4 linked regions of the Stegostoma tigrinum genome follow. The protein of the gene in region 4 interacts with the protein of the main gene of each other region in a biochemical or structural test. Links are inferred from orthologs where the notes say so. Each region holds a gene or a part of one and is shown on either strand. Other genes may lie near its edges.

Region 1 (7,143 bases), on a different chromosome or scaffold from region 4:
GCTAAGGCACAAGCAGAAACAAGGGTATTTAAAAGCATTAAGATGGTGGTACAAAAGAAGAAAAGATATGATGTGCATTTATAAAACACTGGATCAACTCTAGTATTATATCTGCCTGGAGTACTGGACACCAGACTTCAGGAAAGACATAACGATTTATGGAGGGTTCAGAAAAGATTCACAAGAATGGTTCCGGAGACGAAGGTTTTCAGTTACATAGATGGATTAATAGAATTTTAGGTTGTATATCTGAGAGAAAAGAAGATTGAAAGGACATTTGATAGAGGCGCTCAAAATCAATGGAGGTCCAGACACATTAGAGAGAAACTACTCGCACTCGAGGAGGGCAACTGATATAAGGCGAATGGCACAAGAATGAAAGGTGACCTTTCAGACAACAAGTGATTAGAATTTGGAATATACTTTCTGAAAGTGCAGAGGAGGCTTGTCAGTCACAGCTTTCAAAGGAAAATCGGACAAGCATCAAAAATGAAACCAGGAAAAGTGGGACTAGCTCATCTCCTGACTCCCTAAAGCATGTCCATCACCTACAAAGCAGAAGTTAGGAGTGGGATGGAATATTCCCCACATGCCTGGATGGGTGCAGCCCCAACAATACTCAAGAAGCTTGACACCATCCAAGACAAAGCAGTCCAATGGATTGGACCATAGCCACAAACAACCACTCTCTCCACCACTGATGCTCAGTAACAGCAGTGTGTACTGTCTACAAGATGTACTGCAGAAATTTGCCAAAGATCCTTAGACAGCACTTTCCAAACCCAAAGCCATTTCCAAGTTGAACGGCAAGGGTAGCAGATGCATGGGAAGACCATCACCTGAAGCCACTGACCATCCTGACTTGAAAATGTATCTCCATTCCCTCAGTGTGGCGAGGGCAAAACCCTGCATTTCCCTCCTCAGGGCATTGTGAGGCTCTGAACAATACATGGACAGCAGCAGTTCAAGAAGGCAGCTCACTAACACATTCTCAAGGGTAAATTGGAGGGGCCATTAAATGCTGGCCCAGCCGGCAAAACCCACATCCCAGGAGTGAATTTTTAAAAAAGTGCTATGTTGCTCTTGCGGAGAGCTGTCAAGAGCTCACTGAGCTGAATGGCCTGTGCGGTATCTATTCTATGATTCCAAGCAGTGTACCAAGATACAGCAGATGCTGTTCAATGTGCAGAAGTATGAAACGATGGACTTTGAGAGGACCAATTTAGAAAGAGACTCTTCTATAATGGAATGGTTTCAAAAGGACCAGCAAGTTGAAAGATGAAGGGATGAGGAACATGATGATGGGAGAGCTTAACGAATTTGGGACTCCGTGGAAGACTGAGGTATAGAGGTGAATCAATAGACGTGCTCAAAATGATGACAAGATTCCTTCAGATGAGTGTTTCAATAAGGGGGAGTCATAAAATCATTGGAAAAACGACTGAGTGGCAGGTGAGGCTACACATTTCTACTATTCACTACAACCTCAATATATTGATTCCAAGAACAAGAAAGTAAACTAATACGACTGTCCCGGCTTTCAAAAAAGTTATATACAATCATTCGGCCGTGTCAGTGAATTCAGGTTTTACTAAAGGTCATAAAGGTGATGGTAAAAATGAATGGTTTCCCGGCGTTATATACAATCATTGCGGCACAGAAGACAACCATTCAGCCCATCGAGTCCCTGCTAGCTCTCTCAGTCTCACCTCTCCGTTCTATCCGTGTAGCCCTACAACTTTACTTCCTTCAAGTTGCCCCATTCAATTTCCTCCGAAATCGATCATTTTCTCGGCCTCCGCCACCCTCCTGGGCGAGGGTTCCAGGTCATTACCACTCATTGTGTAAAGAGAAGAAAGTTCTACCCCACAGCCATTGCACATCCATTGAGAAAGATTACTTGTCTAACAGTGTATTTTCAGGGGAGCCTCCAGTCTGGGCTTTTAAAGAGGCAATGGTGGCGGCGAATCTTAAAAGTACACGGACACCTGCAACAAAAACGGCGAATGTGTCTGTCTGTCTGGGACAGATCAGGTGCCAAATGAACGGGCTGAGCCGACCCCGCGTTTCGGTTCATTTTTAGGGGAAGTGGGCTCTTGGAAAGGGAGGGTTGGCGTCTGCCTTTGTGTGTGTGTTGTTTTCTAATCCACTTCCAGTAGCAGACACACACACGGTATTAAGTCCAAGTGCAAATACAGACAACAATCGCTGAGAAAAGCCACAGGCTTCCTTCAGCTGGTTGGCGGACAAACCGTGACCAGCCAGGCACAAAGAACAGGGCAAAGCGCTGCACTCCACCCCCCCCCCCCCCCCCCGCTCCTACAGCCTCCCCGCCTGGGGAAAATCACCGACAAAGAGAGGGGAGGATAAGATTTTAAACGCATCCAGCAGCAATTCCAGATCGCTCGCACCACACGTTCTTTGGGAGCTGTGAGGGGATCTGACGCCCGATAAATCGCGTTTATATAATGGGATTTGCATGCAGCTTGAGGATAATGAGACTCTTGGATGTCTGCGGGGAGTTGTTGGCGGCGGTGGGGGGGGTGGTGGTTGCTGCAGGCTGGAAACTTCGCAACGTGCTTTGCTATTTGCATTCTCTTTTCGCCACTTGCATTAATTAATCTTTATACTTGCCGCGATAACATTCGCAAATTCCATCTCCAAAACATCGTATTTGATGGGACGAGGCTGAAAGAAGTGGGCGATTTCTGACGGGGCCGGGGATGGAGAGGGTTATATCACTTCGGGTCAAAGTGAGGTTAGGCTTTACAAGAGCAGATTGCCTTGTAAAGTCTGTCTGAATACACAGACACCCCCTCCCCCAACCGCTGTCTCTCTTTTTGTTTGGATTCCTTGCGAGGAATGAGGGATGTGTGTCTACCAAGGGCAAGGGGAAAAAAATGTAATCAAGGTTACTGCATCCTGTTTCCCTTTTGCTTTGGTTCCCCTCTCCTCCCCTCCCCCAGACTTGCAAATCCGTATTGAATTCTCAGCAACGTTAGCCCCTCTATTGACCAGTTTAAGCTGTTAGAAAATCTCTCTCCCTCTCGACAACTTTAGAAAGTTAAGTGCTTTCTCCCTTTCATTAAAAACAAATGGCTCATTTCACCAAGGCACAAAGGTGGCAATCGTTGCGACGCCTGTTTGCTTCTTTGAGCATCGGCAAACACTTCAGGCTTTGCCAATTCTTAGGAAAATGACCGCATTTTCAAGATTATATTGAGCCCGATCAATTTTTATGTGAAACACAAAACAGAAAACGCTGGGAAGATTAAGTGGAGCGTCGTCAGAACATGGTTGTCGAATGACCAGAGCAAAATCCCTGCACAGAGGCTGTCGGATCTGCTGAGTATTTCCAGCATTTTGTGTTATTAAACTATTTCAGGTATCCCACATCCACAGTATCTCCCTTTGCACTGATTTATTTCCAGCTTGTTTTATCACTGCTTCCTTTCCTTGATTGATTAGTCAAAAGGGGGTATAAAATGCCGCGCAGTATTTGTAACCCACATTTTTTGAGCATGAAATATATTTGACAGACTTTGGGTAAACTTTTCAAGGTCTTTTTTTCTCTTCCTCCTCCCACTTCCTGCTCTCACTTCAAACAAACAGAGCTTTGCCTAACCCACGTGTGCGTTTCCGGCTGTGCCAGCCCTCTGTTCCGCTACTATCCAATGGAAATGTGTGTTAACCCACACTGTGTTTCTATTGGACACTTTCTACGTCGATAATAGTTTGCCGGCCACTTACAGCCCACAACTCGCCCTGCCATGACGTCATCGCCAGTAGCCCCGCCTACAAATGGACTCACTATTGGTTCTCCAGGGTGCATCCAATAGCAGAGAAATGATATGCCAATTGGCTGGTCTCCACCTGTCAATCGCGGAAGGCGGACCGGCGAGGGAGAAGCGGGCCTCCTGTCTGCCTCGGTGACGTCATGGAGGTGCACCCGCGTGCCAGAAGTCCCGCCCCAGACTGCGCTTCCACCAGCTCCATTGGCCGAGAGGTTCCGGGGGGGAATGGGGATTTGGGAATTCCGAGAGGCGATTGGCGGGGCAGGTGGTCCATCAGGCGGCCCGTTGGGGGGGCGGGTCCGGGGCTGGGTGATTGACAGTGGCGGAGGTTTGGTTGCGGCGTGTCGGGCTGCGCTACTTGATTGTGTGAGTGTATCGAGTGTGAAGCAGATACAAAGTAGCACTTGGTGATTCCGGAGCTGGCAGAGCGCAGAGAGAGACAGAACCACGGGGACCGGCCGGGCTAACACTCCCCTGATTATGGTTTCTCACAACTGAGAGACAGATACCCAGCTCCCTGCCCTCACCCAGGTACCAGCCAGCAACACTCAAGTCAGCGAAGGCTCCTCTCCCAACCCCGGGGGGCGCCTGGCTGCCTTTATTTAACCCCGCTTCCAATTTTTTTTAATTTATTTCCCCTTCCCTTTTCAAATATTAAATGTACAACTTGATGGGTCTGAACAGCACAGCCGCAACGAATCAGCCCAATGTCTCCTGCACATGCAACTGCAAACGCTCTTTGTTCCACAGTATGGAGATCAGTAAGTAGTCAAAACAGTCTTTTTATTAAAAATGCTGTTCCCTTCTATTTTCGTTGGTCATTTAAAACTAAAGCCAGTAAATGCTGGCTTTTGTACTAAGGAAGAGATTGTCTCACTGTTTCCCCCCCCCCCCCTTTAAGAGATGGAGTTGATGAGGGGGGGGGGGGGTGGTAGTGTGAGTTGTCTGCCTGGCTGTGTTGTTAATTAAGACGGCGTCTCTCGAGCCCTCAGACTGCCTGGAGTTTTCGTTCCTGTCAGAGTTTGTGCTGTGCGTGCGTGTTCATTTTTTTTCCCTTCAAAAAAATTAAGTTGTCTTTTCTGCCTCTAGTTGTTTGACTTTTATTCGTGCGTCTCTCTTGTTTCCCTCAGTTTTTTTTTCTTTTTTGTTTTCGATGGGGACGACTTTGGGAATCTTACTCTGTGCTTCAACAGCACCACCCCCCCCCCCCCCCGTCGTCGCCACCCCCGTCTCTTGGCCAAGTTCGGGGGAGGAAAAGCAGCCAAGACCCTGACTTTTTCAGAAAAAGGCGTCTCCTTTCCTACTCCCCACAAAAAAGAACGCCCTGTCTCCTCTAGAAAGCTTTGAGCCTCTTTCGGTTTCTTTTCTTTTTCTAAAAATTATTGGAGTTTTGTTTCGTGTAGAATCGTTTTAGTCAGTTAGCCCTGGACTGACTCATTGTCAAGATTGTCGCTCAGTTTCGTGAGTCTCGCCCAAACCCTTTTTTTCGCTTCCCCGCCCGTTTCATTTCTTTCGCTCTCCGTCTTTTGAGCTGTGTGAATGTTTGGTCTTTCAGTGTTTTCTGCACTTGATTAGAGTCAGACCTACTGTATCATCAGATAACCCTTCATTTAGTGTTTTTCAAACGTTCTGTCAACAAGCTGTACAATTTCTTGGAATTCAATGAAGTGCCAAGGGGTCTAACTTAAACAGAACAACTCAGCCCATCTTCCTCTGTGTCTTTTAGGCACAATTTAACGTCTGGTGAAAAGAGCCCTTCGTCTAAAATCTAACCCCACTGAACGACGACTGGGGCTGCTGAGCCCTGTAAAACATACTTTGTGGTATTTTAATAATAACTTTGGATAAAATTGAGTTGTCCTCTGGTGGATTTTATCTTGGTTAGAATGGGTAGTGTTGCCCTCCATAGAAACTGTTTCAATGTTGGGATAATTAAGGTCACTCAACTTGAGACTTTCGGTGTGTCAATCCTTTTTTGGATGCTTTTTAATGTTTTTTCCTCAGCATCAACATATTAGTTACTGAACAATAGTTGCCTAAGATCAGAGGTTCACTTCAGACTTCTGTCGACTCTTAACTTTTAAAACAATCGTTGTTGTGCTGATTTTGGGTTGGAGTGTAGCTTAGTGACTCTGTACATTCTTCACCTCCGTCTGATGTTATGGCGTTCTGTTGCTTGGGAATGATGCACCTAACCCTGCATATGTGGGTCCTAAATTTTTTTAAGGTCTCAGTCAGCCTGCTTATTACAGCTAATACTGTACATACCCTGTTGCTCTGTGTGGATTAGCTGCAGTGGTTTTAAACAATTGCAGTTCTCGTTTTGTGTGATGTAAGGGGCACAGTACAAGGTTGCTGGGTGTTGGGGCGCAGCAGAGACTAGCTTGAGGACTTCGCTCCAAGTAGCGTTGCTGCAGGGTTAGCCTTACCCAGTTCTGTTAAACAGTCACTATCACAATGAATGGATCCTGACTCATGCACATCATTTTTTTCCATCTGCCAAGATTTTTCAAATTGGAATCCAACTGTCAGACTTCAGATGTTCCTCTGAGAATTGCGGATTAAGATATTGTGCATTTTTCTCCCTATTTTAAAATGTGCCTTTCAGATACTGTTTTTGACATGGACCAACATAAGCCATTAAAATTATTCTTGATCGTTTTTAAACATGTTACCTAGTTTGCCATGTGGCCCTATATGTGTGGATTGTATTCCTTTTCCATTTGTCATCCATTAGTTATGAACTATGACCATACATCTTTACGCACAAGGATTAGAAAAATGCAAAGTGCAGATTGTAGTGACTGAACTGATGTGTGCCCTTCAGCCAGCCCCATTTGCTGATTTTATGAAGGGGTGTTAATACTTGGGTGCAGGACTACACTTGCCTGCTGTGTCAGTCTAACAGGTTTTGTCTGTTTTATTAAATTTGGCACCTGTGTTGCAAACAGGGTACGCGTGACTCCTTCAACTCTCTTCCAGGATCTGTCCGTTGGAATCTGTAATTTAACTTTAGCGTGGAGGTATTACATTTGCTTCCACATCTTTCTGTGGCTAAAGACACCTTCAGTTGCTGATATTCTAATCAATGTTCTGACTAACAATGACAGTGTGAATCCTGAAAACCATTTCAGATTCTGGTGATTTTTCTCGCCCCCCCCCCCCCCCCCCCCCCCACCAAGTCTGGTCAATTTATGATCAATTGTCCAGGTGCATACGTGTAACAAATCACATCCCTCTTATTAAACCATTCCGTTAGGATTGAGCATTCTTCTCAGATTTCGGGTATCTTGCCTTTTGAGACAGGATATTGCTTTTTTTTCGTATTACGTTTATTCTTTTTTGCATT
Region 2 (7,972 bases), on a different chromosome or scaffold from region 4:
TTGGTCAGTGCATTGAGTATAGGAGTTGGGAGGTCTTGTGGTTGTACAGGACATTGGTTAGGCCACTTTTGGAATGCTACATTTGATTCTGGTTTCCCTGCTACAGGAAGGTTGTTGTGAAACTTCAAAGAGTTCAGAAAATATTTACAAGGATGTTGCGAGAATTGAAGTGTTTGAATGATAGGGAGAGGCTGAATAGGCTGAGGCTATTTTCCCTGGAGTGTTGGAGACTAAGGGATGACCTTATAGCGGTTTATAAAATCATGAACGGTCTGGATAGGGTGAGTAGCCAAGGTCTTTTCCCTGGGGTATGGGAGTCCAGAACTAGGCTTAAGGTGAGAGGGGAAAGTTTTAAAAGGAATCTAAGGGGCAACTTTTTCATGCAGAGCGTGGTGCATGTATGGAATGAGTTGCCAGATGAAGTGGTGGAGGCTGGCACAGTTACAACATTTAAAAGGCATCTGGATGGCACATCAATAGGAAGGGTTTAGAGGGATATGTGCCAAATGCTAGCAAATGGGACTGGATTATTGTAAGATCTCTGGTTCACAAGGACAACTTGGACCAAGGGGTCAGTTTCCATGCTGTATCTCTCTATGACTCTATACCTGGTACCAAGCAATGGCCAGATCAGATAATCTAATTTAAAATTGGATGCCTAGCTACCCTGTGCTTCGGGGGAGGGGTTGGGGGTAAAAGAGATTATTCAGCCTCTGACCTGTTCTTGTAGCCATAGTGTTTACATGGCTGGTTCAAATGTGTTTTCTGGCTGATGGTAAATCTAGGATGTTGACAGTAGGGATTCAGTACTCAATGCTATTCAATGTTAGAGGGAGAAGGTTTGATACTATTTTTGTTGGAGAATGATATGATGATTACCGGCTACTTAAGTGGGCAAGTGTCATTTGTGTCACACATCAGCCTAAGACTGAATGTTGTTGATCTCTTGCCTTGTGCTTCGGTATCTGAGGAATTGTGAATGGTATGAAAAATGCGATCATTACCAAACATACCCACTTCTGACCTTACATTGAAGGTAGGGGTCATTGAAACAAGTGAAGCTGGTTTGGCCTGGAACTTTATTATTCTGAGGAACTCTAACAGTGATGTCCTGGAATGGAGATCATTGCCTCCAGCAACCCTAGCCAATTTTTCTTTGTATTAGGTATGACTCCAATGAGTGGATAAATTTCCCCTATTCCAATTGTTCACCTCATTTCTTTTTTGATAGTTAAATCAAGGTTGCAATGAGATCTGGAACTGAGTGGCTAGCGCAGAATCTAAATTGTGTAAGTGAGTGGATTGTTCCTGATCAAGTGCTGCTGGATGTCACAGGATTGCTGACTGAGAGTAGACTGATATAGCAGAAAGTGGATGGATCGGATTTAGTTCTTTGAGAAGGTGACCAAACAGGTAGATGAGAGTAAACCGGTTGATGTGGTGTATATGGATTTCAGCAAGGCGTTCGATAAGGTTCCCCACAATAGGCTATTGTACAAAATGCGGAGGAATGGAATTGTAGGAGATATAGCAGTTTGGATGGGAAATTGGCTTTCTGAAAGAAGACAGAGGGTGGTGGTTGATGGGAAATGTTCATCCTGGAGACCAGTTACTAGTGGTGTACCGCAAGGGTCAGTGTTGGGTCCACTGCTGTTCGTCATTTTTATAAATGACCTGGATGAGGACATAGAAGGATGGGTTAGTAAATTTGCAGACGACACCAGGGTCGGTGGAGTTGTGGATAGTGACGAAGGATGCTGTAGGTTGCAGAGAGACATAGATAAGCTGCAGAGCTGGGCTGAGAGGTGGCAAATGGAGTTTAATGCAGACAAGTGTGAGGTGATGCACTTTGGTAGGAGTAACCGGAAGGCAAAGTACTGGGCTAATGGTAAGATTCTTAGTAGTGTAGATGAGCAGAGAGATCTCGGTGTCCATGTACACAGATCCTTGAAAGTTGCCACCCAGGTTGACAGGGCTGTTAAGAAGGCATACAGTGTTTTAGCTTTTATTAATAGAGGGATCGAGTTCCGGAACCAAGAGGTTATGGTGAAGCTGTACAAAACTCTGGTGCGGCCGCACTTGGAGTATTGTGTACAGTTCTGGTCACCACATTATAAGAAGGATGTGGAAGCTTTGGAAAGGGTGCAGAGGAGATTTACTAGGATGTTGCCTGGTATGGAGGGAAGGTCTTATGAGGAAAGGCTGATGGACTTGAGGCTGTTTTCATTAGAGAGAAGAAGGTTGAGAGGTGACTTAATTGAAACATATAAAATATTCAGAGGGTTAGATAGGGTGGATAGGGAGAGCCTTTTTCCTAGGCGAGCACAAGGGGGCATAGCTTTAAATTGAGGGGTGAAAGATATAGGACAGATGTCAGAGGTAGTTTCTTTACTCAGAGAGTAGTAAGGGAATGGAACGCTTTGCCTGCAACGGTAGTAGATTCGCCAACTTTAGGTACATTTAAGTCGTCATTGGATAAGCATATGGACGTACATGGAATAGTGTAGGTTAGATGGGCTTGAGATCGGTATGACAGGTCGGCACAACTTCGAGAGCCGTAGGGCCTGTACTGTGCTGTAATGTTCTATGCTTTTTGTGACACAACCTACCTAGACAATTTTCCACATTGTTTGGTAGGTGTCAGAGCTGTGCTAGAACAGTTTGGCAAGAGACGCAAATAGTTCTAGAGCACAAATATTCTAGCTACAGGGCCTTTGTTGGAAATATTATCATTGTATGCTGTATATTACTCATTTATCACTGAGTGAAAAAAAATTGAAGTTTACTATGTGCGATGCTGGATAACTCAGGGAAAGGGTGGGATGCATCATCCACTCAGCACTCTGCCTGGGGATAGTTGTAAACATTCTAGCCTTGTTTTTTTCACACTGACATACTGGGGTCCACTGATATTGAGAACGAGGACATTTTTACAGCGTCCTCCTCCAGTTATTTAATTGAGCACCAACATCATGTCTGAATGTGGCATGGCTGCAGAGCTTCAATCTGGCCCATTGGTTGTGGCGTGACTTGGCTCTGCCTATATTGTTCTGTACTTGCTGTTTGCATGTTAGTCCTGTGTAGTGGCTTCACCAACTTGGCACCCTGTTTTGACTGTTGGTGCTTCTGTTTTATTTTTCTATGATCCTTTTTAAAGTAGAGTTGGTCTTGCGGCTTGACGGCAATGGTAGAGTGAGGGATATATGGGCCATGCGGTTACAGATTGTTGAATGAAAGTCTGCTACAGCTGATGGCTCAGAATGTCTCTGAGATGACCAACTTTTGAGCTACTAAAGCCGCCCTGAATTAATTCCAGTTTTCAAGTGTCAGTAGCATACAATACAATGGAGGATATCCCAGTGTGAAGACAGGAATTCGGCCCCAGAAGGACTGGACTCTGATCGCTCATCTGTGACAAGTCTGTGGCACAGTTCTCCCAGATAATGAGAGGCATTCACTTGGGAGGCTGTTTCTTATTGTTTCCAGTGTGAAGGCTAATGCTGGGTGATCTGTTGTTATTCAGCTTTTGGTGGTAATTTTGAATGATGGTTGCTTGCTAGATTTTTTCAGAGGGTATTTGAGAGCCATCCAAAATCACATGTTGGCCAGGCTAAGCAAGGACAGCAGATTGCCTTCCCAGACTATCTTTGTTGATCAGAGCTTTGAATGCAGATTGTTGAAGAGGCCACTTTGAGTACTGTTCACAGTTCTGGTCACCCTGCTATAGGAAGGATATTAATAGGTAGGAGAGAGTGCAGAATAGATTTTCAAGGATGTTACAGGGACTGGAAGGTTTGAGTTATAGGGAGTCTGGATAGGTTGGGATGCTTTTCACTGGAGTATAGGAGGTTGTGGTGTGACCTTATCGAGGATTATAAAATCGTGAGGGTTATAGATAAGGTGAATAGCAAGGTCTTTTCCCTAGATGGCTTATTTGAAAGGGGAAATATGTCAGTGACCTGAGGGGCAAATATTTCACACACACAATGGTTCATATGAGGAATGACCTGCAGAGGGAATGGTAGATGCAGGTGCAGCTACAATATTTAAAAGACATTTGGACAGGTACATGAATAGGAAAGGGTTGGCGCAAATGCAGGCAAATGGGACTAGTTTCATTTGGGGAACTTGGTTAGCATAGACAAGATACACTGAAGGGTCTAGTACTGTGCTGTATGACTCTAAGGAGCATTAGTGAATCAGATGAGGCTTTAGGACAATCTGGTAGTTTCACCATTATTATTGTGAATTGACCATTTTATTTCAGGTTTATTAATTAATAGAATCCAAGTTCCCCCGGATCCAGGAGTGGCATGATCCTTGAGTCATTGTAAATACCTGTGGTTTATTGGTTTAGTGACATCACTACTGTTCAATTATCCCCCATTTTAATATTATTTACTTGTAAAATTTTAGTTATGGATTTTTTAAAAAGTTCCTTTATTAGATGTACCTCTTTAACAAAAGTGAAGAGTTTTTTTACATCTCTTGGGACTTCACTTTCATCCCTATTGAAAAATATCCTTTTCCTTTGGTGTAGCCGAATGGTTTTGATTGACATTTGAACAGCCCATTCAGCTTTCGAGATAATCGGGAACGCTGTTGTCCTATGGTAGTAGCGGATAGAAGTTGGAACTTGGACTCCGGATGTTGATTGGGCCTTTGGGCACAGAGCCTACTCTCCTCTAAGGCCGAATTTTATTGGCCAACCCGCCCATACGCACACCAGGGCCTCCAAATTTGACTCCCCTTTCAAGCTGCGGGGAAGCTAGGCCAATGAGAAGCGGTGACTCAAAGCAGCAGCGGAAGCAAGGGGCAGGCCGGCTGCGAGACGGCTCCTGATTGGCGATTTGGTAACAGCAGGCGCATTGTGAGCAGCTGATGACCAATGAGGAGCGCGGAGAGAAAAGTGGGTTTGGCTGCGCCTGGCGCCACCAAAGTGGGTGCAGGGAGACGGCGGCCATTTTGTTTCGTCAGACGCCGCGGCAAGAGAGAGGAATTTTCTTTATAGAATCCAAAGTGTCCTTTTTTTTACCTTTTGCCAATCGGTTGGAGCAGTGCACTTATTATATTTTTTCCTTCACGTGGCCTCCCACATTACTAAGCCGCTTTTTTGGTTGGTGGTGGGGCATTTTTAAAAGAAATTGAGAAAATAGTTTTAATTTAAATAAACGGGAATGAGTTCGCTGGACGTGCGGAAACTAAAAGTGAACGAGCTCAAGGAGGAGCTGCACAGACGCGGCCTTGACACAAAGGGCCTCAAGGCGGATCTGCAGGAGCGGCTGCAGGCAGCTCTGGACCGTGCCGCTGACGAAGAACAAGAAGCAGCCAAAGCCGCCGCCACTGCCGAACGGCAGCGACAGGAGGAGGCGGAGAGAGCGCGGGCAGGTGAGGCCTAGGCGTGCATGCGCGGAGCTTCCGGCAGGTAAGCCGGCTGTGCGCAGGCGCGGATCCCGCCCACGGACTCACCTTGAAATGGGGAGGGAGGGGACGACTGGAGTGAGATATTCTCGTTGCATTCGGTCGCTGATCTCATCTATTTCCTCCCCCTTTTAAATTACTCGACTGTTGGCTCTCAACCCATAATGCAATAGAATCTGCAGTTAAAATAAAACAAAGAACTGCGGGTGCTGAAGGTCTGAAGCAGAAGTTGCTGGAGAGATTCAGCGTCTGTGGAGAGAAAGCAGTTCTGAGTTTCGACTCCAGTGAATCTGCAGTTATTTCTGGATGGAAGTCTTTGTGTTTTCAAGAGGAATCATCTAGTTGTTTGATTTCCTGGAAAGACTTATGCCCCATTTTAGCTTTTAGTAGACTGCATTTGATTCTGAGCTTATTTACAGAGTCTTAAGAAGCACGGCAGAACGGCTGTTTCCCCCCTTCTAGTAGCCTGACATGTGCTGGAAACAGATTCCATAGTTGGCCTTGAAAGAGAATTTGATATGAACCATAACTAGAATCTCTGTAGCGAGTTTTGAGAACATTTGTAGCTCAGGTTGAGGTTCTGGATAATAAAATGTGAGGCTGGATGAACACAGCAGGCCAAGCAGCATCTCAGGAGCACAAAAGCTGACGTTTCGGGCCTAGACCCTTCATCAGAGAGGGGGATGGGGAGAGGGAACTGGAATAAATAGGGAGAGAGGGGGAGGCGGACCGAAGATGGAGAGTAAAGAAGATAGGTGGAGAGAGTATAGGTGGGGAGGTAGGGAGGGGATAGGTCAGTCCAGGGAAGACGGACAGGTCAAGGAGGTGGGATGAGGTTAGTAGGTAGCTGGGGGTGCGGCTTGGGGTGGGAGGAAGGGATGGGTGAGAGGAAGAACCGGTTAGGGAGGCAGAGACAGGTTGGACTGGTTTTGGGATGCAGTGGGTGGAGGGTAAGAGCTGGGCTGGTTGTGTGGTGCAGTGGGGGGCGGGGACGAACTGGGCTGGTTTAGGGATGCAGTAGGGGAAGGGGAGATTTTGAAACTGGTGAAGTCCACATTGATACTATATGGCTGCAGGGTTCCCAGGCGGAATATGAGTTGCTGTTCCTGCAACCTTCGGGTGGCATCATTGTGGCAGTGCAGGAGGCCCATGATGGACATGTCATCAAGAGAATGGGAGGGGGAGTGGAAATGGTTTGCGACTGGGAGGTGCAGTTGTTTGTTGCGAACTGAGCGGAGGTGTTCTGCAAAGCGGTCCCCAAGCCTCTGCTTGGTTTCCCCAATGTAGAGGAAGCCGCACCGGTTCAATTCGTCCCCTCCCCCCACTGCACCACACAACCAGCCCAGCTCTTCCCCCCCACCCACTGCATCCCAAAACCAGTCCAACCTGTCTCTGCCTCCCTAACCGGTTCTTCCTCTCACCCATCCCTTCCTCCCACCCCAAGCCGCACCCCCAGCTACCTACTAACCTCATCCCACCTCTTTGACCTGTCCGTCTTCCCTGGACTGACCTATCCCCTCCCTACCTCCCCACCTATCTTCTTTACTCTCCATCTTCGGTCCGCCTCCCCCTCTCTCCCTATTTATTCCAGTTCCCTCTCCCCATCCCCCTCTCTGATGAAGGGTCTAGGCCCGAAACGTCAGCTTTTGTGCTCCTGAGATGCTGCTTGGCCTGCTGTGTTCATCCAGCCTCACATTTTATTATCTTGGAATTCTCCAGCATCTGCAGTTCCCATTATCTCTGAGGTTCTGGATGTGAGTTTGCTCGCTGTGCTGGAAGGTTAGTTTTCAGACGTTTCGTTACTTTTTTTTATTTGAAAAAATATACTTTATTCATAAGATGTACAAAAAATAAAACATTTATACACCTACCCAGTCATGCAAGTCGCTCCGGGTTACCCAGGGGGTACGTACACCAACTAAAGGAAAAAAAACAAACAAAGAAAAAAAAAGCAAAGAAAATACCCCGGCAGCCGTCACCCCGCACAGTCCCAGTTGGCTCCCTGACCAGTTGTGGAAGGCACCAGCTGGGTCCAGTTACCAGATAGGGCCCTTTTTTCTATTCTGGATGAGGGGTTTCATACTGTGGTCTTTCCCCACCGCGCCTTGGCGGCGGCTGCCCCAAGCTTTAGCACGTCCCTCAGCACGTAGTCCTGGACCTTGGAGTGCGCCAGTCTGCAACATTCGCTCGGGGTCAGTTCTTTCAGCTGGCAGACCAGCAAGTTGCGGGCAGACCAAAGAGTGTCTTTCACCGCATTGATGGTCCTCCAGGCGCAGTTGATGTTGGTCTCGGTGTGCGTCCTGGGAAACAGCCCGTAGAGTACAGAGTCCCACGTCACGGACCTGCTCGGGACGAACCTCGACAAATACCAATGCATCCCCCTCCAGACCTCCTGCGCATAGGCACTCTCCAGAAGGAGGTGATCAACAGTCTCGTTCCCCCCCGCAGCCACCTCAAGGGCAGCGTGCGGTGGCGCAGAGATTCCGGACATGCATAAAGGATTTCACTGGCAGAGCCCCTCTCACCGCCAGCCAAGCAATGTCCTTGTGCT
Region 3 (6,997 bases), on a different chromosome or scaffold from region 4:
AAGACTGATAACAGCAGGGAAGAAGCTGTTCCTGAATCTGTTGGTAAGTGTTTTCAAGCTTTTGTATCTTCTGCCTGATAGAAGAGAGTGGGAGAGTATACCCAGAGTGGGAGGGATCTTTGATGATGTTGGCTGTCTTCAGAGTCAATAGAAGGAAGGCTGATTTTCGTGATGGACTGAATCAAATCCATAACTCTCTGTAATTTCTGTGGTTATGGACAGAGGATGTTTTCCAGGGTGCATCTATAAAAATTGGTAAGAGTTATTGTGGACATGCTGAATTTCCTTAGCCTCCTGAGGGAGTAGTGGCAGTGCTGTGATTTCCTGGCTGCAACATCAATGTGGGTAGACCAGGACAAATTGTTGGTGATGGTCACTCCCAGGAACTTGATGCCTTCAACCATCTCTACCTCAATTCCACAGACACAGACGGGGGCGGGTCCTCTTCTTCACTTCCTGAAGACGGCCAGCTCCTGCATTTTGCTGATGTTGATGGGAGATTGCTGTCTTTATACCATACGGCTAAACTCTCATTCTCTTTCCTGTACTCTGCCTCGTCGCTGTTTGAGAGCCGAGCCACTACGGTGGTGTTATCAGCAAATCTGTAAATGGAGTTAGAGCTGAATTTAGCCACACTGTCATGAGTGTATAAGTAGTAAAGGGCTGTGTACACAGCTTTGTAGGGCACCCGTATTGAGGATTGTGGTAGAGGAGATGTTCTCACTTATCCATACTGACTGCAGTCTATCGGTCAGGAAGCTGAGGACCCAGTTGCAGAGTGGGGAGCCAAGACCTAGGACTTGAGTTTGGAGATGAGCATCACTGGACTTATGGAGCTGAAGGCGTACCTAAAGTCAGTAAACAGGAGTCTGACATAGGTGTCCTTGTTATCCAGGTGTTCCAGGGATGAGTGTAAGGTTGGGGACATAGCGTCTCTTGTGGACCTGTCGTGCCACTCAGTGACTTTTAGTGGGTCGAGTCAATCTGGAAGGCGGGAACTGGTGTGAGCCATACCTAACCTCTTTGTAGCACTTCATAATGATGAAATGTCAGAACCTCGGGGCAGTAGGCATTGAGGTACATTGCCTGACCCTTCTTTGGCACTGGGATGATATGGTGTTTGTGAAGCAGGTGAAGACTTCAGATTGTAGTGAGGAGAGGTTAAATATATCAGCAAATAATCCCACCAGCTGGTCTGTGCCAAAACCATTCAGGCCAGTCGCTTTGCATGGGTTCACCCTCAAGAAGGCCAATCTGACATCTGCAGCAGTAACTGCGCGTACAGGTGAATCCAAGGCTTTCAACATTATTTCACCGACTTTCCATTCAAAACCAGCATACAGTTCACTGAGCGCACTGGAGATGAGTGCATTGTTGTCAGTGATCCTATTTGAATTTGCTTTGTAGCCCAGTATAACGTGTGATCAGTCTGGGAATGATCACAGTGTCATCATAGATTCCCTACAGTGTGAAAACAGGCCCTTCAGCCCAACATGTCCACACTGACTATCAGAGCATCTGATATAATCAAATATCCCCTATAACTGAACACGTCTAAACATCCTTGGAACACTGTGCTCAATTTAGCATGACGAATCCACCTAGCCTGCACATGTTTGGACTGTGGGAGGAAACTGGAGCACCCGGAGGAAACCCATGCAGACACGGGGAGAATGAGTAAACTCCACACAGACAGTCGCCCAAGGGTGGAATCAAACCCGCATCCCTGGCACTGCGAGGCAGCAGTGCTAAGCACTGAGACCCCGTGCCCCAGTCTAATGTAGTATTGTCTCTTTGCGTCCCTGATGGCTTTGTGATGAAGATTGTAGATTTCCTGTATAGCTCAGAGTCACTCAACTTGAACAGCTCAGACCTGGGCTTCAGGAGGGAGTGGATCTCCTAGTTCATCCATGGTTTCCTGTCAGGGAACACTCGGATTAACTTCTTTGGCATGTAGCTGAAACCTGAAAATTGTCCAGATCTTGTATTAGAACATGGACTGCATCACCATTTCCACCTTCTTCTTTACTGTTCAGTGACAGTAAACTTGTCCCCTCCACACTCCCCTCCAGCCCCACCATTCCCGGCACTTTCCCCTGCAACTGCAGGAAATGCTACACTTGTCCCCACACCTCCTCCCTCACCCCTATCCCAGGCCCCAAGAAGACCTTCCATATCAAGCAGATGTTAACCTGCACATCTGCCAATGTGGTATACTGTATCCACTGTACCCAGTGTGGCTTCCTCTACATCAGGGAAACCAAGCGGAGGCTTGGGGACCACTTTGCAGAACACCTCCACTCGGTTCGCAATAAACAACTGCACCTCGCAGTCGTGAACCATTTTAACTCACCCTCCCATTCCTTAAACGACTTGTCCATCATAGGCCTTCTGCAGTGCCACAATGACGCCACCCGAAGGTTGCAGGAACAGCAACTCATATTCCGCTTGGGGACCCTGCAGCCATATGGTATCAATGTGGACTTCACCAGCTTCAGGGTCTCCCCTTCCCTCACCGCATCCCAAAACCAGCCCAGTTCGTCCCCTCCCCCCACTGCACCACACAACCAGCCCAGCTCTTCCCCTCCACCCACTGCATCCCAAAACCAGTCCAACCTGTCTCCGCCTCCCTAACCTGTTCTTCCTCTCACCCATCCCTTCCTCCCACCTCAAGCCGCACCTCCATCTCCTACCTACTAACCTCATCCCACCTCCTTGACCTGTCCGTCTTCCCTGGACTGACCTATCCCCTCCCTACCTCCCCACCTATACTCTCCTCTCCACCTATCTTCTTTTCTCTCCATCTTCGGTCCGCCTCCCCCTCTCTCCCTATTTATTTCAGAACCCTCACCCCATCCCCCTCTCTGATGAAGGATCTAGGCCCGAAATGTCAGCTTTTGTGCTCCTGTGATGCTGCTTGGTCTGCTGTGTTCATCCAGCTTCACATTTTATTATCTTGGATTCTCCAGCATCTGCAGTTCCCATTACCCCTGAATCTTCCCAATTCGGGAGGAATTGTGGATAATAAAATGTGAGGCTGGATGAACACAGCAGGAGTACAAAAGCTGACATTTCGCGCCTAGACTCTTCATCAGAGAGGGGGATGGGGTGAGGGTTCTGGAATAAATAGGGAGAGAGGGGGAGGCGGACCGAAGATGGAGAGAGAAGAAGATAGGTGGAGAGGAGAGCATAGGTGGGGACGTAGGGAGGGGATAGGTCAGTCCAGGGAAGACAGACAGGTCAAGGAGGTGGGATGAGGTTAGTAGGTAGATGGGGGTGCGGCTTGGGGTGAGAGGAAGAACAGGTTAGGGAGGCGGAGACAGGTTGGACTGGTTTTGGGATGCAGTGGGTGGAGGGGAAGAGCTGGGCTGGTTGTGTGGTGCAGTGGGGGGAGGGGACAAACTGGGCTAGTTTTGGGATGCAGTAGGGGAAGGGGAGATTTTGAAGCTGGTGAAGTCCACATTGATACCATTGGGCTGCAGGGTTCCCAAGCGGAATATGAGTTGCTGTTCCTGCAACCTTCGGGTGGCATCATTGTGGCAGTGCAGGAGGCCCATGATGGACATGTCATCTAGAGAATGGGAGGGGGAGTGGAAATGGTTTGCGACTGGGAGGTGCAGTTGTTTGTTGCGAACTGAGCGGAGTTGGGACTACTGCAAAGTAGTCCCCAAGCCTCCGCTTTGTTTCCCCAATGTAGAGGAAGCCACACTGGGTACAGTGGATGCAGTATACCACATTGGCAGAGAATTGTGTCTATTTCACTCTCCCGCCGCTAGGTGACTCTGTAGTACTTACTGAGGAGCCGTTCCACCAAACTCCCCCAGAGGACTGGAGGAGGGGTTGTGGCGCCCCTAGCGGCCGGGAGGAGGAGTTGCGGAGCCCGAGCGGCCAGGAAGCGGAATTGCGGCGCCCCTAGCGGCCGGGAGGAGGACTTGCGGCGCTCCTAGCGGCCGGGAGGAGGAGTTGCGGAGCCCGAGCGGCCAGGAAGCGGAATTGCGGCGCCCCTAGCGGCCGGGAGGAGGGGTTGCGGCGTCAGTGATGGCGGACGAAGAGCTGGAAGATTCCTCCTTGGTTCCCAATGTGGCAGCGGGAGGAGGTCGATCCGGGGACAAGATGTTCACCCTGAAGAAGTGGAACGCGGTGGCGATGTGGAGCTGGGATGTGGAGTGTGATACCTGCGCCATCTGCAGGGTCCAGGTGATGGGTAAGCGGCAAGGCCCAGGCCCCGGGGACCAGGACAGGGGCCTCGGGTACTGCCCGAGGCGGTCTGACTGTCTGGGAATGGCGGGGGTGGGAGGCACTGGTTTGCCTGGCTGTGCCCACCGGCCTCTCAGTCCCAGGAGGACAGTGTGATGGGGACAGGGACCGAGCCCCCCCCCCACGCCCCACCCCCCCACGCCCCACGCCCCCCCCCCACGCCCCACGCCCCCCCCCACGCCCCACGCCCCCCCCCCCCACGCCCCACGCCCCCCCCCCCCACGCCCCACGCCCCCCCCACGCCCCACGCCCCCCCCGAGCCCCCCCCACCCCGAGCCCCCCCCACCCCGAGCCCCCCCCCCCGACCCCCCCCCCCCCGACCCCCCCCCCACGCCCCCCCGAGCCCCCCCCCGAGCCCCCCCCCCACGCCCCCCCGAGCCCACGCCCCCCCGAGCCCCCCCCCACGCCCCCCCGAGCCCCCCCCCACGCCCCCCCGAGGCCCCCCCGAGGCCCCCCCGAGCCCGCCCCTCGCCCGCCCCTCGCCCCCCCTCGCCCGCCCCTCGCCCCCCTTCGCCCGCCCCTCGCCCCACTTCACCCGCCCCTCGCCCCACTTCACCGGCCCCTCGCCGTGCCCCCCCTCAGCCCCCCCTCGCCCGCCCCTCGCCCCCCTTCGCCCGCCCCTCGCCCCACTTCACCCGCCCCTCGCCCCACTTCACCGGCCCCTCGCCGTGCCCCCCCTCAACCCCCCCTCGCCCCCCCTCAACCCCCCCTCGCCCTCCTACACCCCCCCTAACCCCCCCCACCCCCCCTACACCCACCCTCACCCCCCCCTACACCCACCCCTACACCCACCCTCACCCCCCCTACACCCACCCTCACCCCCCCTACACCCACCCTCACCCCCCCCACCCCCAATACAACCCCCTCGCCGTGCTCCCTTCGCACCCCCCCTTCACCCCCCCTCGCCGTGCCCCCCTTCACCCCCCCTCGCCGTGCCCCCCTTCACCCCCCCTCGCCGTGCCCCCTTCACCCACCCCTCGCCGTGCCCCCTTCACCCACCCCTCGCCGTGCCCCCTTCACCCACCCCTCGCCGTGCCCCCTTCACCCACCCCTCGCCGTGCCCCCTTCACCCACCCCACGCCGTGCCCCCTTCACCCACCCCACGCCGTGCCCCCCTTCACCCACCCCACGCCATGCCCCCCTTCACCCACCCCACGCCGTGCCCCCCTTCACCCACCCCACGCCGTGCCCCCCTTCACCCACCCCTCGCCGTGCCCCCCCTTCACCCACCCCTCGCCGTGCCCCCCCTTCACCCCCCCCTCGCCGTGCCCCCCCTTCACCCCCCCCTCGCCGTGCCCCCTTCACCTCCCCTCGCCGTGCCCCCTTCCACCCGCCCCCTTCACCCGCCCCCGTCGCCGTGCCCCCCTTCACCCGCCCCCCTCGCCGTGCCCCCCTTCACCCGCCCCCCCCTTCACCCGCCCCCCCCTTCGCCCGCCCCCCCCTTCGCCCGCCCCCCCCCTTCGCCCGCCCCCCCCCTTCGCCCGCCCCCCCCCTTCGCCCGCCCCCCCCCTTCGCCCGCCCCCCCCTTCGCCCGCCCCCCCCCCTCGCCCGCCCCCCTCCCTCGCCCGCCCCCCTTCACCCGCCCCCCTTCACCCCCCCCCTTCACCCGCCCCCCCCTCGCCGTGCCCCCCTTCACCCGCCCCCCCTTCACCCGCCCCCCTTCACCCGCCCCCCTCGCCGTGCCCCCCTTCACCCGGCACCCTCGCCGTGCCCCCCTCCACCCACCCTCCTCGCCATACTCTTCCCCTTTCGCCCCCCCGGCAGCCATTCCCCCCCCCCCTCCACGCCCCCCCCGGCCAGCCATTCCTCCCCCCCTCCACGCCCCCCCGGCCAGCCATTCCTCCCCGCCCCCCCGGCCAGCCATTCCCCGCCCCCCCGGCCAGCCATTCTCCCTCCCCGCCCCCCCGGCCAGCCATTCTCCCCCCCCCCCCGGCCAGCCATTCTCCCCGCCCCCCCCCCCCGGCCAGCCATTCTCCCCGCCCCCCCCGGCCAGCCATTCCCCCCCGGCCAGCCATTCCCCCCCCTGCCCCCCCCCGGCCAGCCATTCCCCCTGCCCCGCCCCCCCCCCCCCCCCCCCCCCGGCCAGCCATTCCCCCCCCACCCCCCGGCCAGCCACCCCCCCCCCCTCCCCGCCCCCCCGGCCAGCCATCTCCCCCCCCCCCCCTCCCCGCCCCCCCGGCCAGCCATCCCCCCCCCCCTCCCCGCCCCCCCGGCCAGCCATTCCCCCCCCCCCTCCCCGCCCCCCCGGCCAGCCATTCCCCCCCCCCCCCCCGCCCCCCCGGCCAGCCATTCCCCCCGCCCCCCCGGCCAGCCATTCCCCCCCCCCCCTCCCCGCCCCCCCGGCCAGCCATTCCCCCCGCCCCCCCGGCCAGCCATTCCCCCCGCCCCCCCGGCCAGCCATTCCCCCCGGCCAGCCATTCCCCCCCCCTCCCCGCCCCCCCGGCCAGCCATTCCCCCCCCCCGGCCAGCCATTCCCCCCCCCCTCCCCGCCCCCCCCGGCCAGCCATTCCCCCCCCCCGGCCAGCCACCCCCCCCCCCCCCTCCCGGCCCCCCCGGCCCCCCCCCCTCCCCGCCCCTCCCCTCCCCGCCCCCCCCCTCCCCTCCCCTCCCCTCCCCCCCCCTCCCCTCCCCTCCCCTCCCGTCCCCGCCCCCCCCCCTCCCCTCCCCTCCCCTCCCCTCCCCTCCCCTCCCCTCCCCGCCCCCCCGGCCAGCCATTCCCCCCCCTCCCCGCGCCCGCCCT
Region 4 (7,345 bases):
ATCTTTCTGCATGGATTTAGAAAAGTTCCCTTTAACAAGCTGTTAATTATAGATAGTGGGATATCTGACACCTTGTTGCTGAAGTCCAGTGCCCAAGTGAAAGAGGAACATGTGGACCTTTCACGTCTGCAAGCACAACAGAACTCAACCATGGTCTGATCCAATTTCATGTCTGCTGTGTACAGATGGCTGCAGTGACCACCACTACTCTAATATCAGGTTGTTATATTTGAACTCAGACCTTCCATAACAGTATTCCAGGCCAGACTATCTGGAGTCTGATGAAATATTCTTGGCGCAATATATTTAAATCAGGTTTACACTCTGCTATGTTTAGGCAACCAAGCTTTGATTCAGTTTATAAAACAAATGGATAACTTAGCTGTCTGTGTATTTCAACAATCCGAATAATTCCTTTCCAACTGCAGTCAACACATGCGCACTCATTGCATCAATGTGGAAATTAAAGTGGAGAATTAAAATAAATCTAAACACATTTAACTAGCTAATACAGTTACCATCTGGAAATACAGACTCGCTTTTACACAAAACACAACCATGTGTAACTGACTTTTACTTCTACTTCAATTCTAACAATTTTGAGTAACGTAAGTAACACATTTTAAATAAAATTGAGCTTCACGAGGTTAGGAGCAGACACCTGAGGCACACAAAGGGAAATCATTTGTTAATCTTACAGCTATTTTAAACCACAGGAAACAAATTTGGATGCCCAAAGCTAACTAGGAAAGGATACCCCTTTCTAACTTAAAAACCAAGGGAAATTTACAATGTGACATTAAGCATTTTTTGCAGTTTCAAGTGCAATTATGGCCCAAATCAAAAAGATTGATAGGTGATGTTCTTAGCTGAAGTATATTATTAATGTTACAAAGATTTAGCCAATCTGCTTTCAAGTAAATTAATCTGCAAGTGGCAAAATCTGAACATTTTAAATTCACGTGTTTTACTGGATAAATAACTTCTCATCCAAAAATGTAATTTATTAGCAGTAAAACATGTGATACTTGATTTCAAATTTTATGAATTATGTCAATAACAACCTCTGACAGATTGTACAGATCAAGTGAGCAAAATTGTTTTGCATGCAAGTGCTTGCCTAGAACACTTACTTTTGTAGAGATGTCTACCTAAACTGAATCACTTTCACTACAGGAAACCAGTAAAAACATTGAACACAGAAGTTAAAAAAGACAAGAAAATTTCCTCAGCATTAACAACCGCCTATAAATGGTGCTCTTTGGCCAGAAAACAAATTTCATATTGAGAATATCTATAGAATATACAACACGTTTCACATATTCTTTAGACTCAGTCCATAGCTACAGATCTGAGCAGTATCACTAAATAGATCAGTAAATCATTAAAATTGTCTGTAATTAGAAACTCAAGTGTAAATCAACACTAGGGCACAGCTGTCTGCAATCATCACTGGCAAATTTTGAAACAATTAAAAATGCTAGAAAATTTAATTTTAGGACTTCCTACATTTTCTAGCACAGCAATCACCCTGTTTAACAAAACTATCACTAAATTCTACAGACACTGCCCACAATTTGTACTAAAAGTGGGAGTAAAATAGATAAGCTGATTTTTAATTTGAAGCCTTTGAGGCAGGGGAGAATTAGCTTACCTTGCACTTTCGTCCCCAAACAGCTCCAGTCATTTCCTCCTCAGAACTGAACGTCTTTTGCTCTGATCTAGGAGCTACGTGGATTTGTAAATGAGGGATCCCAACCCTTGAACAACAATGTTTAGGTTTTGAATGATAACTGGAAACCAGCTGACAGGGAACTTCAAGTGAATGGCTCCTTTGAAAGATCGGACGCTTGTTTTGTTCATTTATAATTTCCCTTTCTACCACACCATTAATATTAAGTTGGCAGTCTGAATGTTTGAACGAAGGTAAACATACAGAGGTGCTCCTTATTAACTTAATAGGATGATGCGCATGTCCAGTATTTAAAGAGCTCTGCTTAAACTCCTTCACAAATGATTCAGGGTGAATTTGTCCTTCCTTGGGCTCTGTTCCAAATACATGAGCTCTTTGGTAGTTGAAATGCAGAACGTGATTTGAAGGTCTGTGCGGTTTCTTCACTTTTCCCCAATACTCTGCTTCTTCCTCGCCGTAATCTATTGCTCGATTTTTGCCAGGTTGCTGTCCGTTACAATGAAGCGACTTAATGTCTCTAACTTCCGAAGAAGGACAAACTGGGTTAGACAAACGCAGCCCATTAACTGCTGTTGCAACAAAACATGTGCTTGCTTCTTTGGATTTAGACACAGCCTGATCTTCATCTTGCTTTGGTTCATGAGGGCAAGGAAGAAATCTGTTTAATGTGGGATTGCTACTTGCACTTGTAAATGGATCTGGGCTTGTTGGTGTAGCTGGCGGAGTACTACACGGACTCTGAGGAAATATCACCAATGATGAACAACGCCTCAATGGAACCTTCGGTTTTCTCAACTTCACTGATGCTTTGGTGGACTCCATCGCACGTTCTAAAAGCTCTTGGTCAAAAGAAATACCGGCATTGCACAAACCACCCTCTCTGCCATTGCAACGAGTACTAGATTCACACTGTCCTCTGGATTGTTTGGACTGCAGTGATATTTGCAAGGTAGAGCTCTTTTTGCGGTGATGATCACTGTTGCTGACCTGTGGTATAAACAATGAAGAACTGCGCTGTAGGATACGTTCATCCTGTGCTACTGTCTGCGCTGCCACAGGTTCAAGTGCAGTCACTTGGTGAACATTCTTTCTCACATGTACTGGTACAGTCTCAACTGTCATACAAATGTTACTCTCCAAGCCTTCTCCCGAAGTTTCAGACAGTGGGTCAGTGTTGCTCCTCCTGGTTGCAAAATGCAGTCGCAAACGACGGGCCATTCTTCCCTTTTGAAATACAACAAATGTGGTCCTAGGTTGGAATGAATCTGAGCTAGTTAAAAACTCACATTCTGCAGAGAACACTTAAAGCAATCATAGCAAGCACTGCCACTTGCGATACGGTCACCATCAGGAGCTGTAGATAAGCAGAAATAGCTGAAGTGACAAGCAGCATTCCAGTCATTACTGCACTATGGCTATTAAGCCTGGGAAGTTAGAAATGTCCAGCAGCAAAAATCATAATTGCAGGAATACCTCCCGCAATTCTGAATAGCCATGAATGTCTCTTAACGGTGAGAAATGAAGGCAGACTCTCTTCCACAGCACTGAAAACTCAGCAACCTTTACAAGAAGCTCAGCTGCTGCACACTGTTTGAATTCTGGCCAACCTTGCTTCAATTAAATCTCCTTTACTTCCATGAGTGACTGAATCCAACCCAAAATCAACATCTTCTTGCATTTCGGTTTCATATATTACATCTCGTCCCCAGCAAGCAAGCTAAATATGTGGCACTGCTTTAGGCACTGGAGCTTCAAATGTTTCTCCTACACTGAACCAACACCGTATTTTTACCTCATAGTATTGCATTACAGGAAATTTTAAAGAGCAACATCCAGCATAATTCAGAATCAAAAGGTTTTCTGAGTATTACCCACAATGTTAAACCTCCAGGATATGGGAAATAGACAGGAAGCTACTGCTAATAACTGCAAGAGCACTCCGCAGTTTTGCATTTACAATTGAATACAATTTGCCTTCATCAGTTCCTCAATGTGATAAAGATTGGCTTTTTTTTTGCAGATAGTAGTTCTGAACTCACGCTCTCAGTTCGGCTTTAGCTGAACACATTGAAATCCAACCATCTAAAAGAGGCAACGATTTAAAAGAAGCAAATCCTTGTTTAAAAAGAAACAAAAACAGAACTATTATTAGACTCCCACTGGACTGAAATCCTGCTGGTACCGGGCTGCTAGCGCTTGTTAAGACTGTTCAGTGTGGCTAAGTAGGAAAAACCTCTCTCTTCATACACAGAAATGCCACATTCTGACATTTGAAACTCATGACCGTGCCAAAGGAGTTACATTCTTTTCTTCCTGTGGCTTTCCGATCAGATGTACAGATTCAAAAGCACTGAATATAATTAATTTTTACAAGAAAGCATTTTTCAAATACTTTCTCCTTCGTCTTGTAACCATGTAAAAAAGGTACAATCTTAACACATCAGAAATTGTTCCTCGATGTGGGAGTTTTGCACCAATATCTAGGACTATGACACTGCATACACTTTACAAGAGAGAGAAAATTTCCTTTGAGTGAAGTCACAAAAGATTTTAAGTTCCAAGCCTTGTAAGACAAAGTTGTTTGACATTTTAATGTGTGGAGCCATGACACAACATGACTAGCCACTTCACACATTCCAGGTAAAACCTGAACATAATACTTTATTAACTCACCACTCAACAGTTTGCAAGTTGCTATGCAGGAATAGTGGCTCATTCAGCAGGACTGATGAAATAAAATGTGCAACATTTTTCTACAAATCAAACAGCAAGTGTTTAATAACTGTATGATGGCCATCTTAATGCCCTTAGGGATAAAAGTGGCTGCACAATGGAAAAATGTACTGCTTATAATCAAAAGCTGTAACAACTGCCCCATTTTCTGTTGGCATTTTAACAGATGCCTTTTACAAAAATTTTCTACCACTGCACAGAAGTGAGAAAGTTATTCTGAACTGCAATTAAAAGTAAAAATGGCCCTTTGAGCATTTCAATTTGCACTTAGTCAAAAAACAAACAAAATAGCTAACTTAACTAAACAGCTTGCACTAGGGGCATAGGTAGTTTCTTTGTACAGAATAACTGCTTGGTCAAACTCCTTTTTTTTTAATAGCAAGAACATTTCTATAAAAAAATGCATCTGGATAGAACAATGCTCTCTTTGTAGAAAAAAAAATCTGTATCATGCTTTTCAAGTCCAAGACTTTTTTTCCGCTAAATAAAGTTCCAGACAGCCAGATGCATAGGAATTTTTGCTACAGACCAGCTCAGCTTTTTCAACATTGCACTGAACTGGAATATTCACAGCCATTCCACTGTATCACTCTTCATTCTGCATTCTGTATTACTAATAACAACCTATGCCTCTTCACATGCTAGAATGTCTGCTTTGAAAAAAAATACCAAGCTTCTCATATGGGGAACAAAAACTTAAACCCTGTTAAATACCATCATTTTGAAAGCACACACCTGAACAACAGTAATATAATATCAATAGAAATTCTAGAAATGGACAAACGTCAACGGTAAAAGAATTGTACGCACAGAACATGCTTATGGACTGGAGTTTCTGTGAATTGACTCAACTCAAAAACAATTTTATGAGACTTGTCCTTCCAACAATATACGTACGGGGTCGTAGCTAGACAGACCACAGAATCCAGTCTCCAAGAGAAAGTGCTTATTGTCTAACTGAACACAGTACAAGGTGGGCTGACGGGAAAAAGAAGCAAATGGCGAGCAGTTATTCCAGAGCTCTGGGTGAGTCGGGAGAGGGACTAGCAATGTTAATGAAATGCCCTGAAAAAGTGTGGCTGCTTGAGGAGTGCTGATGTGAGCACAGGTATTGGGATCTGCAGCTTACGGCACTCCAAAAATGTGACAGGATGGTGGAGACAAATCCAATAGCGGTTCGCAAAAAGAAATTGCATACATTTTTTGAAGAGAAGTGATTACAGGGTTTCAGGGGAAAAGTTTGGAAGTGGAATGAACTGGATTGCTCCTCATAAGGACTGGCATAGAAGTGATAGGTCAAATGGCCTCCTTCTTTATTGCATTAGTCTATGACTGCACAGGAGGAAAGTTAAAACTTACAAAAAACGTCATCGCAGCACATTGGAGAATCAGCTCTGTTGTCAAGCTGAGCAATGCATGGCAATGTCAATTTGTGGACTGCCTGCAGTGTTTCCCACTGTGAGGAAACCAAGTGGATGCAGGACACATCCTCACAGGATGTCAAGGAAGACTCAAGGGTAAGTCTCCAGCCAAATTCTGCACCCTACTTAGCAATGTGTCACAGGCCTGGTATAGGACGACAGCATCCTTGTTATCTCAGGAAATGAACAGCCAATGGACACCACACTCAGAAAACATATTTAATGAATTTTCATTGCTTACTTAAAAAAAATACACTGTACTAAGCCATACACTGCAATGGCATGCATTTTCTTTAGGCCAAGTGCCATGACTCAAGCTTGGAGTAAAATGACTGAGAGGCATGATAGTAATGCACTCAGGTTGTAATCCGTGCCCAGGCTTATAGGTTCAAATCCCACCTTGGAAGAAGAAATCTGAATTTAACAACATATTGAATTAAGAATTAATCTAATGGAAACCATGTAACCATTCTTGGTTGTTGTAAAAAGCCATCTGGTTCACCAATGTCCTTTAGGAAAGGTAATCAGCTGTTTCACCCAGTCTGGCCTACATGTGGTTCCAGACCCACAACAACGAGGTTCATTCTTCAATGCCCTCAAAGCAGCTAAACCCCAGAGATGAAGTCACATGACTATCCTAGATGTCAAGGTAGCATTTGGCCAAGTGTGACACCAAAGAACGCTCATAAACCTGAAGTCATTGGGAATTGGGAAAATACACTTCACTCGTAGAGTCATACCTAGCACAAAAGGAAAATGGTTGTGGTTGTTGGAGGTCAATCACCTCGGCTCAAGTATATCACTGCAGGAGTTCTGTAAGGTAGTGTCCTAGGCCTAAACATCTTCAGCTTCCTCATCAATGACTCTCCGTCATAAGATTAGAGGTAGTGGTTTATGATTCTTCAGATACTGAAATATTTTGAATAAAAATTGAAAGGACTACAGATGCTTTAAATCACCTTAGTTCTGAGGATGGGTCATTTGGCTCGAAACATTTAACTCTGATTTCTCTCCACAGATGCTGCCAGACTTGCTGAGCTTTTCCAGCCATCTCTATTTTTGTTACTGAAACATTCTGGATCCATATGCAGCAACATCCAGGCTTTGACTAATACATGGCAACTGATATTTATGCCACAGAAGCATCAGTCAATAATCATCGCTATCAAGAGAAAATCTAATCATTGCCCCCTAACATTCAATGGTTTATCATTACTGAATACCCCACAATCAACCTCCTGTTGATTACCAATAACCAGGAACTGAACTGGAATAGTCATATAGAGAGTGTGGCTACTAAAGCAGGTCAGGGGCCACGTAAATACTGTGACTATAAGAGAAAGTTAGAGGATAGTTAATAGTGAGTAACAGACAGCCTCCAACCCCAGCACCTGTCCACAATCCACCAGCACATGTGAGATGAAATACTCTCCACTTGCTTGGATCAGTGCAACTCCAACACTACTAAAGAAACCGTGCATCACCTTCAACCTTCACT

Evidence for each region.
Region 1: the proteins of E3 ubiquitin-protein ligase NEDD4-like (region 4) and protein TMEPAI-like form a complex in vitro, tested with the Homo sapiens proteins (2 studies listed by BioGRID, with this or other methods). The link is inferred for Stegostoma tigrinum from reciprocal best matches to the Homo sapiens genes NEDD4 and PMEPA1.
Region 2: the proteins of E3 ubiquitin-protein ligase NEDD4-like (region 4) and heterogeneous nuclear ribonucleoprotein U-like protein 1 form a complex in vitro, tested with the Homo sapiens proteins (2 studies listed by BioGRID, with this or other methods). The link is inferred for Stegostoma tigrinum from reciprocal best matches to the Homo sapiens genes NEDD4 and HNRNPUL1.
Region 3: the proteins of E3 ubiquitin-protein ligase NEDD4-like (region 4) and rnf7 form a complex in vitro, tested with the Homo sapiens proteins (2 studies listed by BioGRID, with this or other methods). The link is inferred for Stegostoma tigrinum from reciprocal best matches to the Homo sapiens genes NEDD4 and RNF7.

What each region holds. Positions count from the first base shown.
Region 1 is NC_081372.1:56,265,347-56,272,489, reverse strand, and holds the start of protein TMEPAI-like, read left to right. Parts: upstream 1-4,129; 5' UTR 4,130-4,452; coding exon 4,453-4,555; intron 4,556-7,143. UniProt on the Homo sapiens protein: Functions as a negative regulator of TGF-beta signaling and thereby probably plays a role in cell proliferation, differentiation, apoptosis, motility, extracellular matrix production and immunosuppression.
Region 2 is NC_081392.1:7,469,698-7,477,669, reverse strand, and holds the start of heterogeneous nuclear ribonucleoprotein U-like protein 1, read left to right. Parts: upstream 1-4,954; 5' UTR 4,955-5,177; coding exon 5,178-5,388; intron 5,389-7,972.
Region 3 is NC_081367.1:74,096,286-74,103,282, reverse strand, and holds the start of rnf7 (RING-box protein 2), read left to right. Parts: upstream 1-3,993; 5' UTR 3,994-4,038; coding exon 4,039-4,204; intron 4,205-6,997. UniProt on the Homo sapiens protein: Catalytic component of multiple cullin-5-RING E3 ubiquitin-protein ligase complexes (ECS complexes), which mediate the ubiquitination and subsequent proteasomal degradation of target proteins.
Region 4 is NC_081386.1:15,733,311-15,740,655, forward strand, and holds the start of E3 ubiquitin-protein ligase NEDD4-like, read right to left. Parts: upstream 3,005-7,345; 5' UTR 2,912-3,004; coding exon 1,655-2,911; intron 1-1,654. UniProt on the Homo sapiens protein: E3 ubiquitin-protein ligase which accepts ubiquitin from an E2 ubiquitin-conjugating enzyme in the form of a thioester and then directly transfers the ubiquitin to targeted substrates. Specifically ubiquitinates 'Lys-63' in target proteins.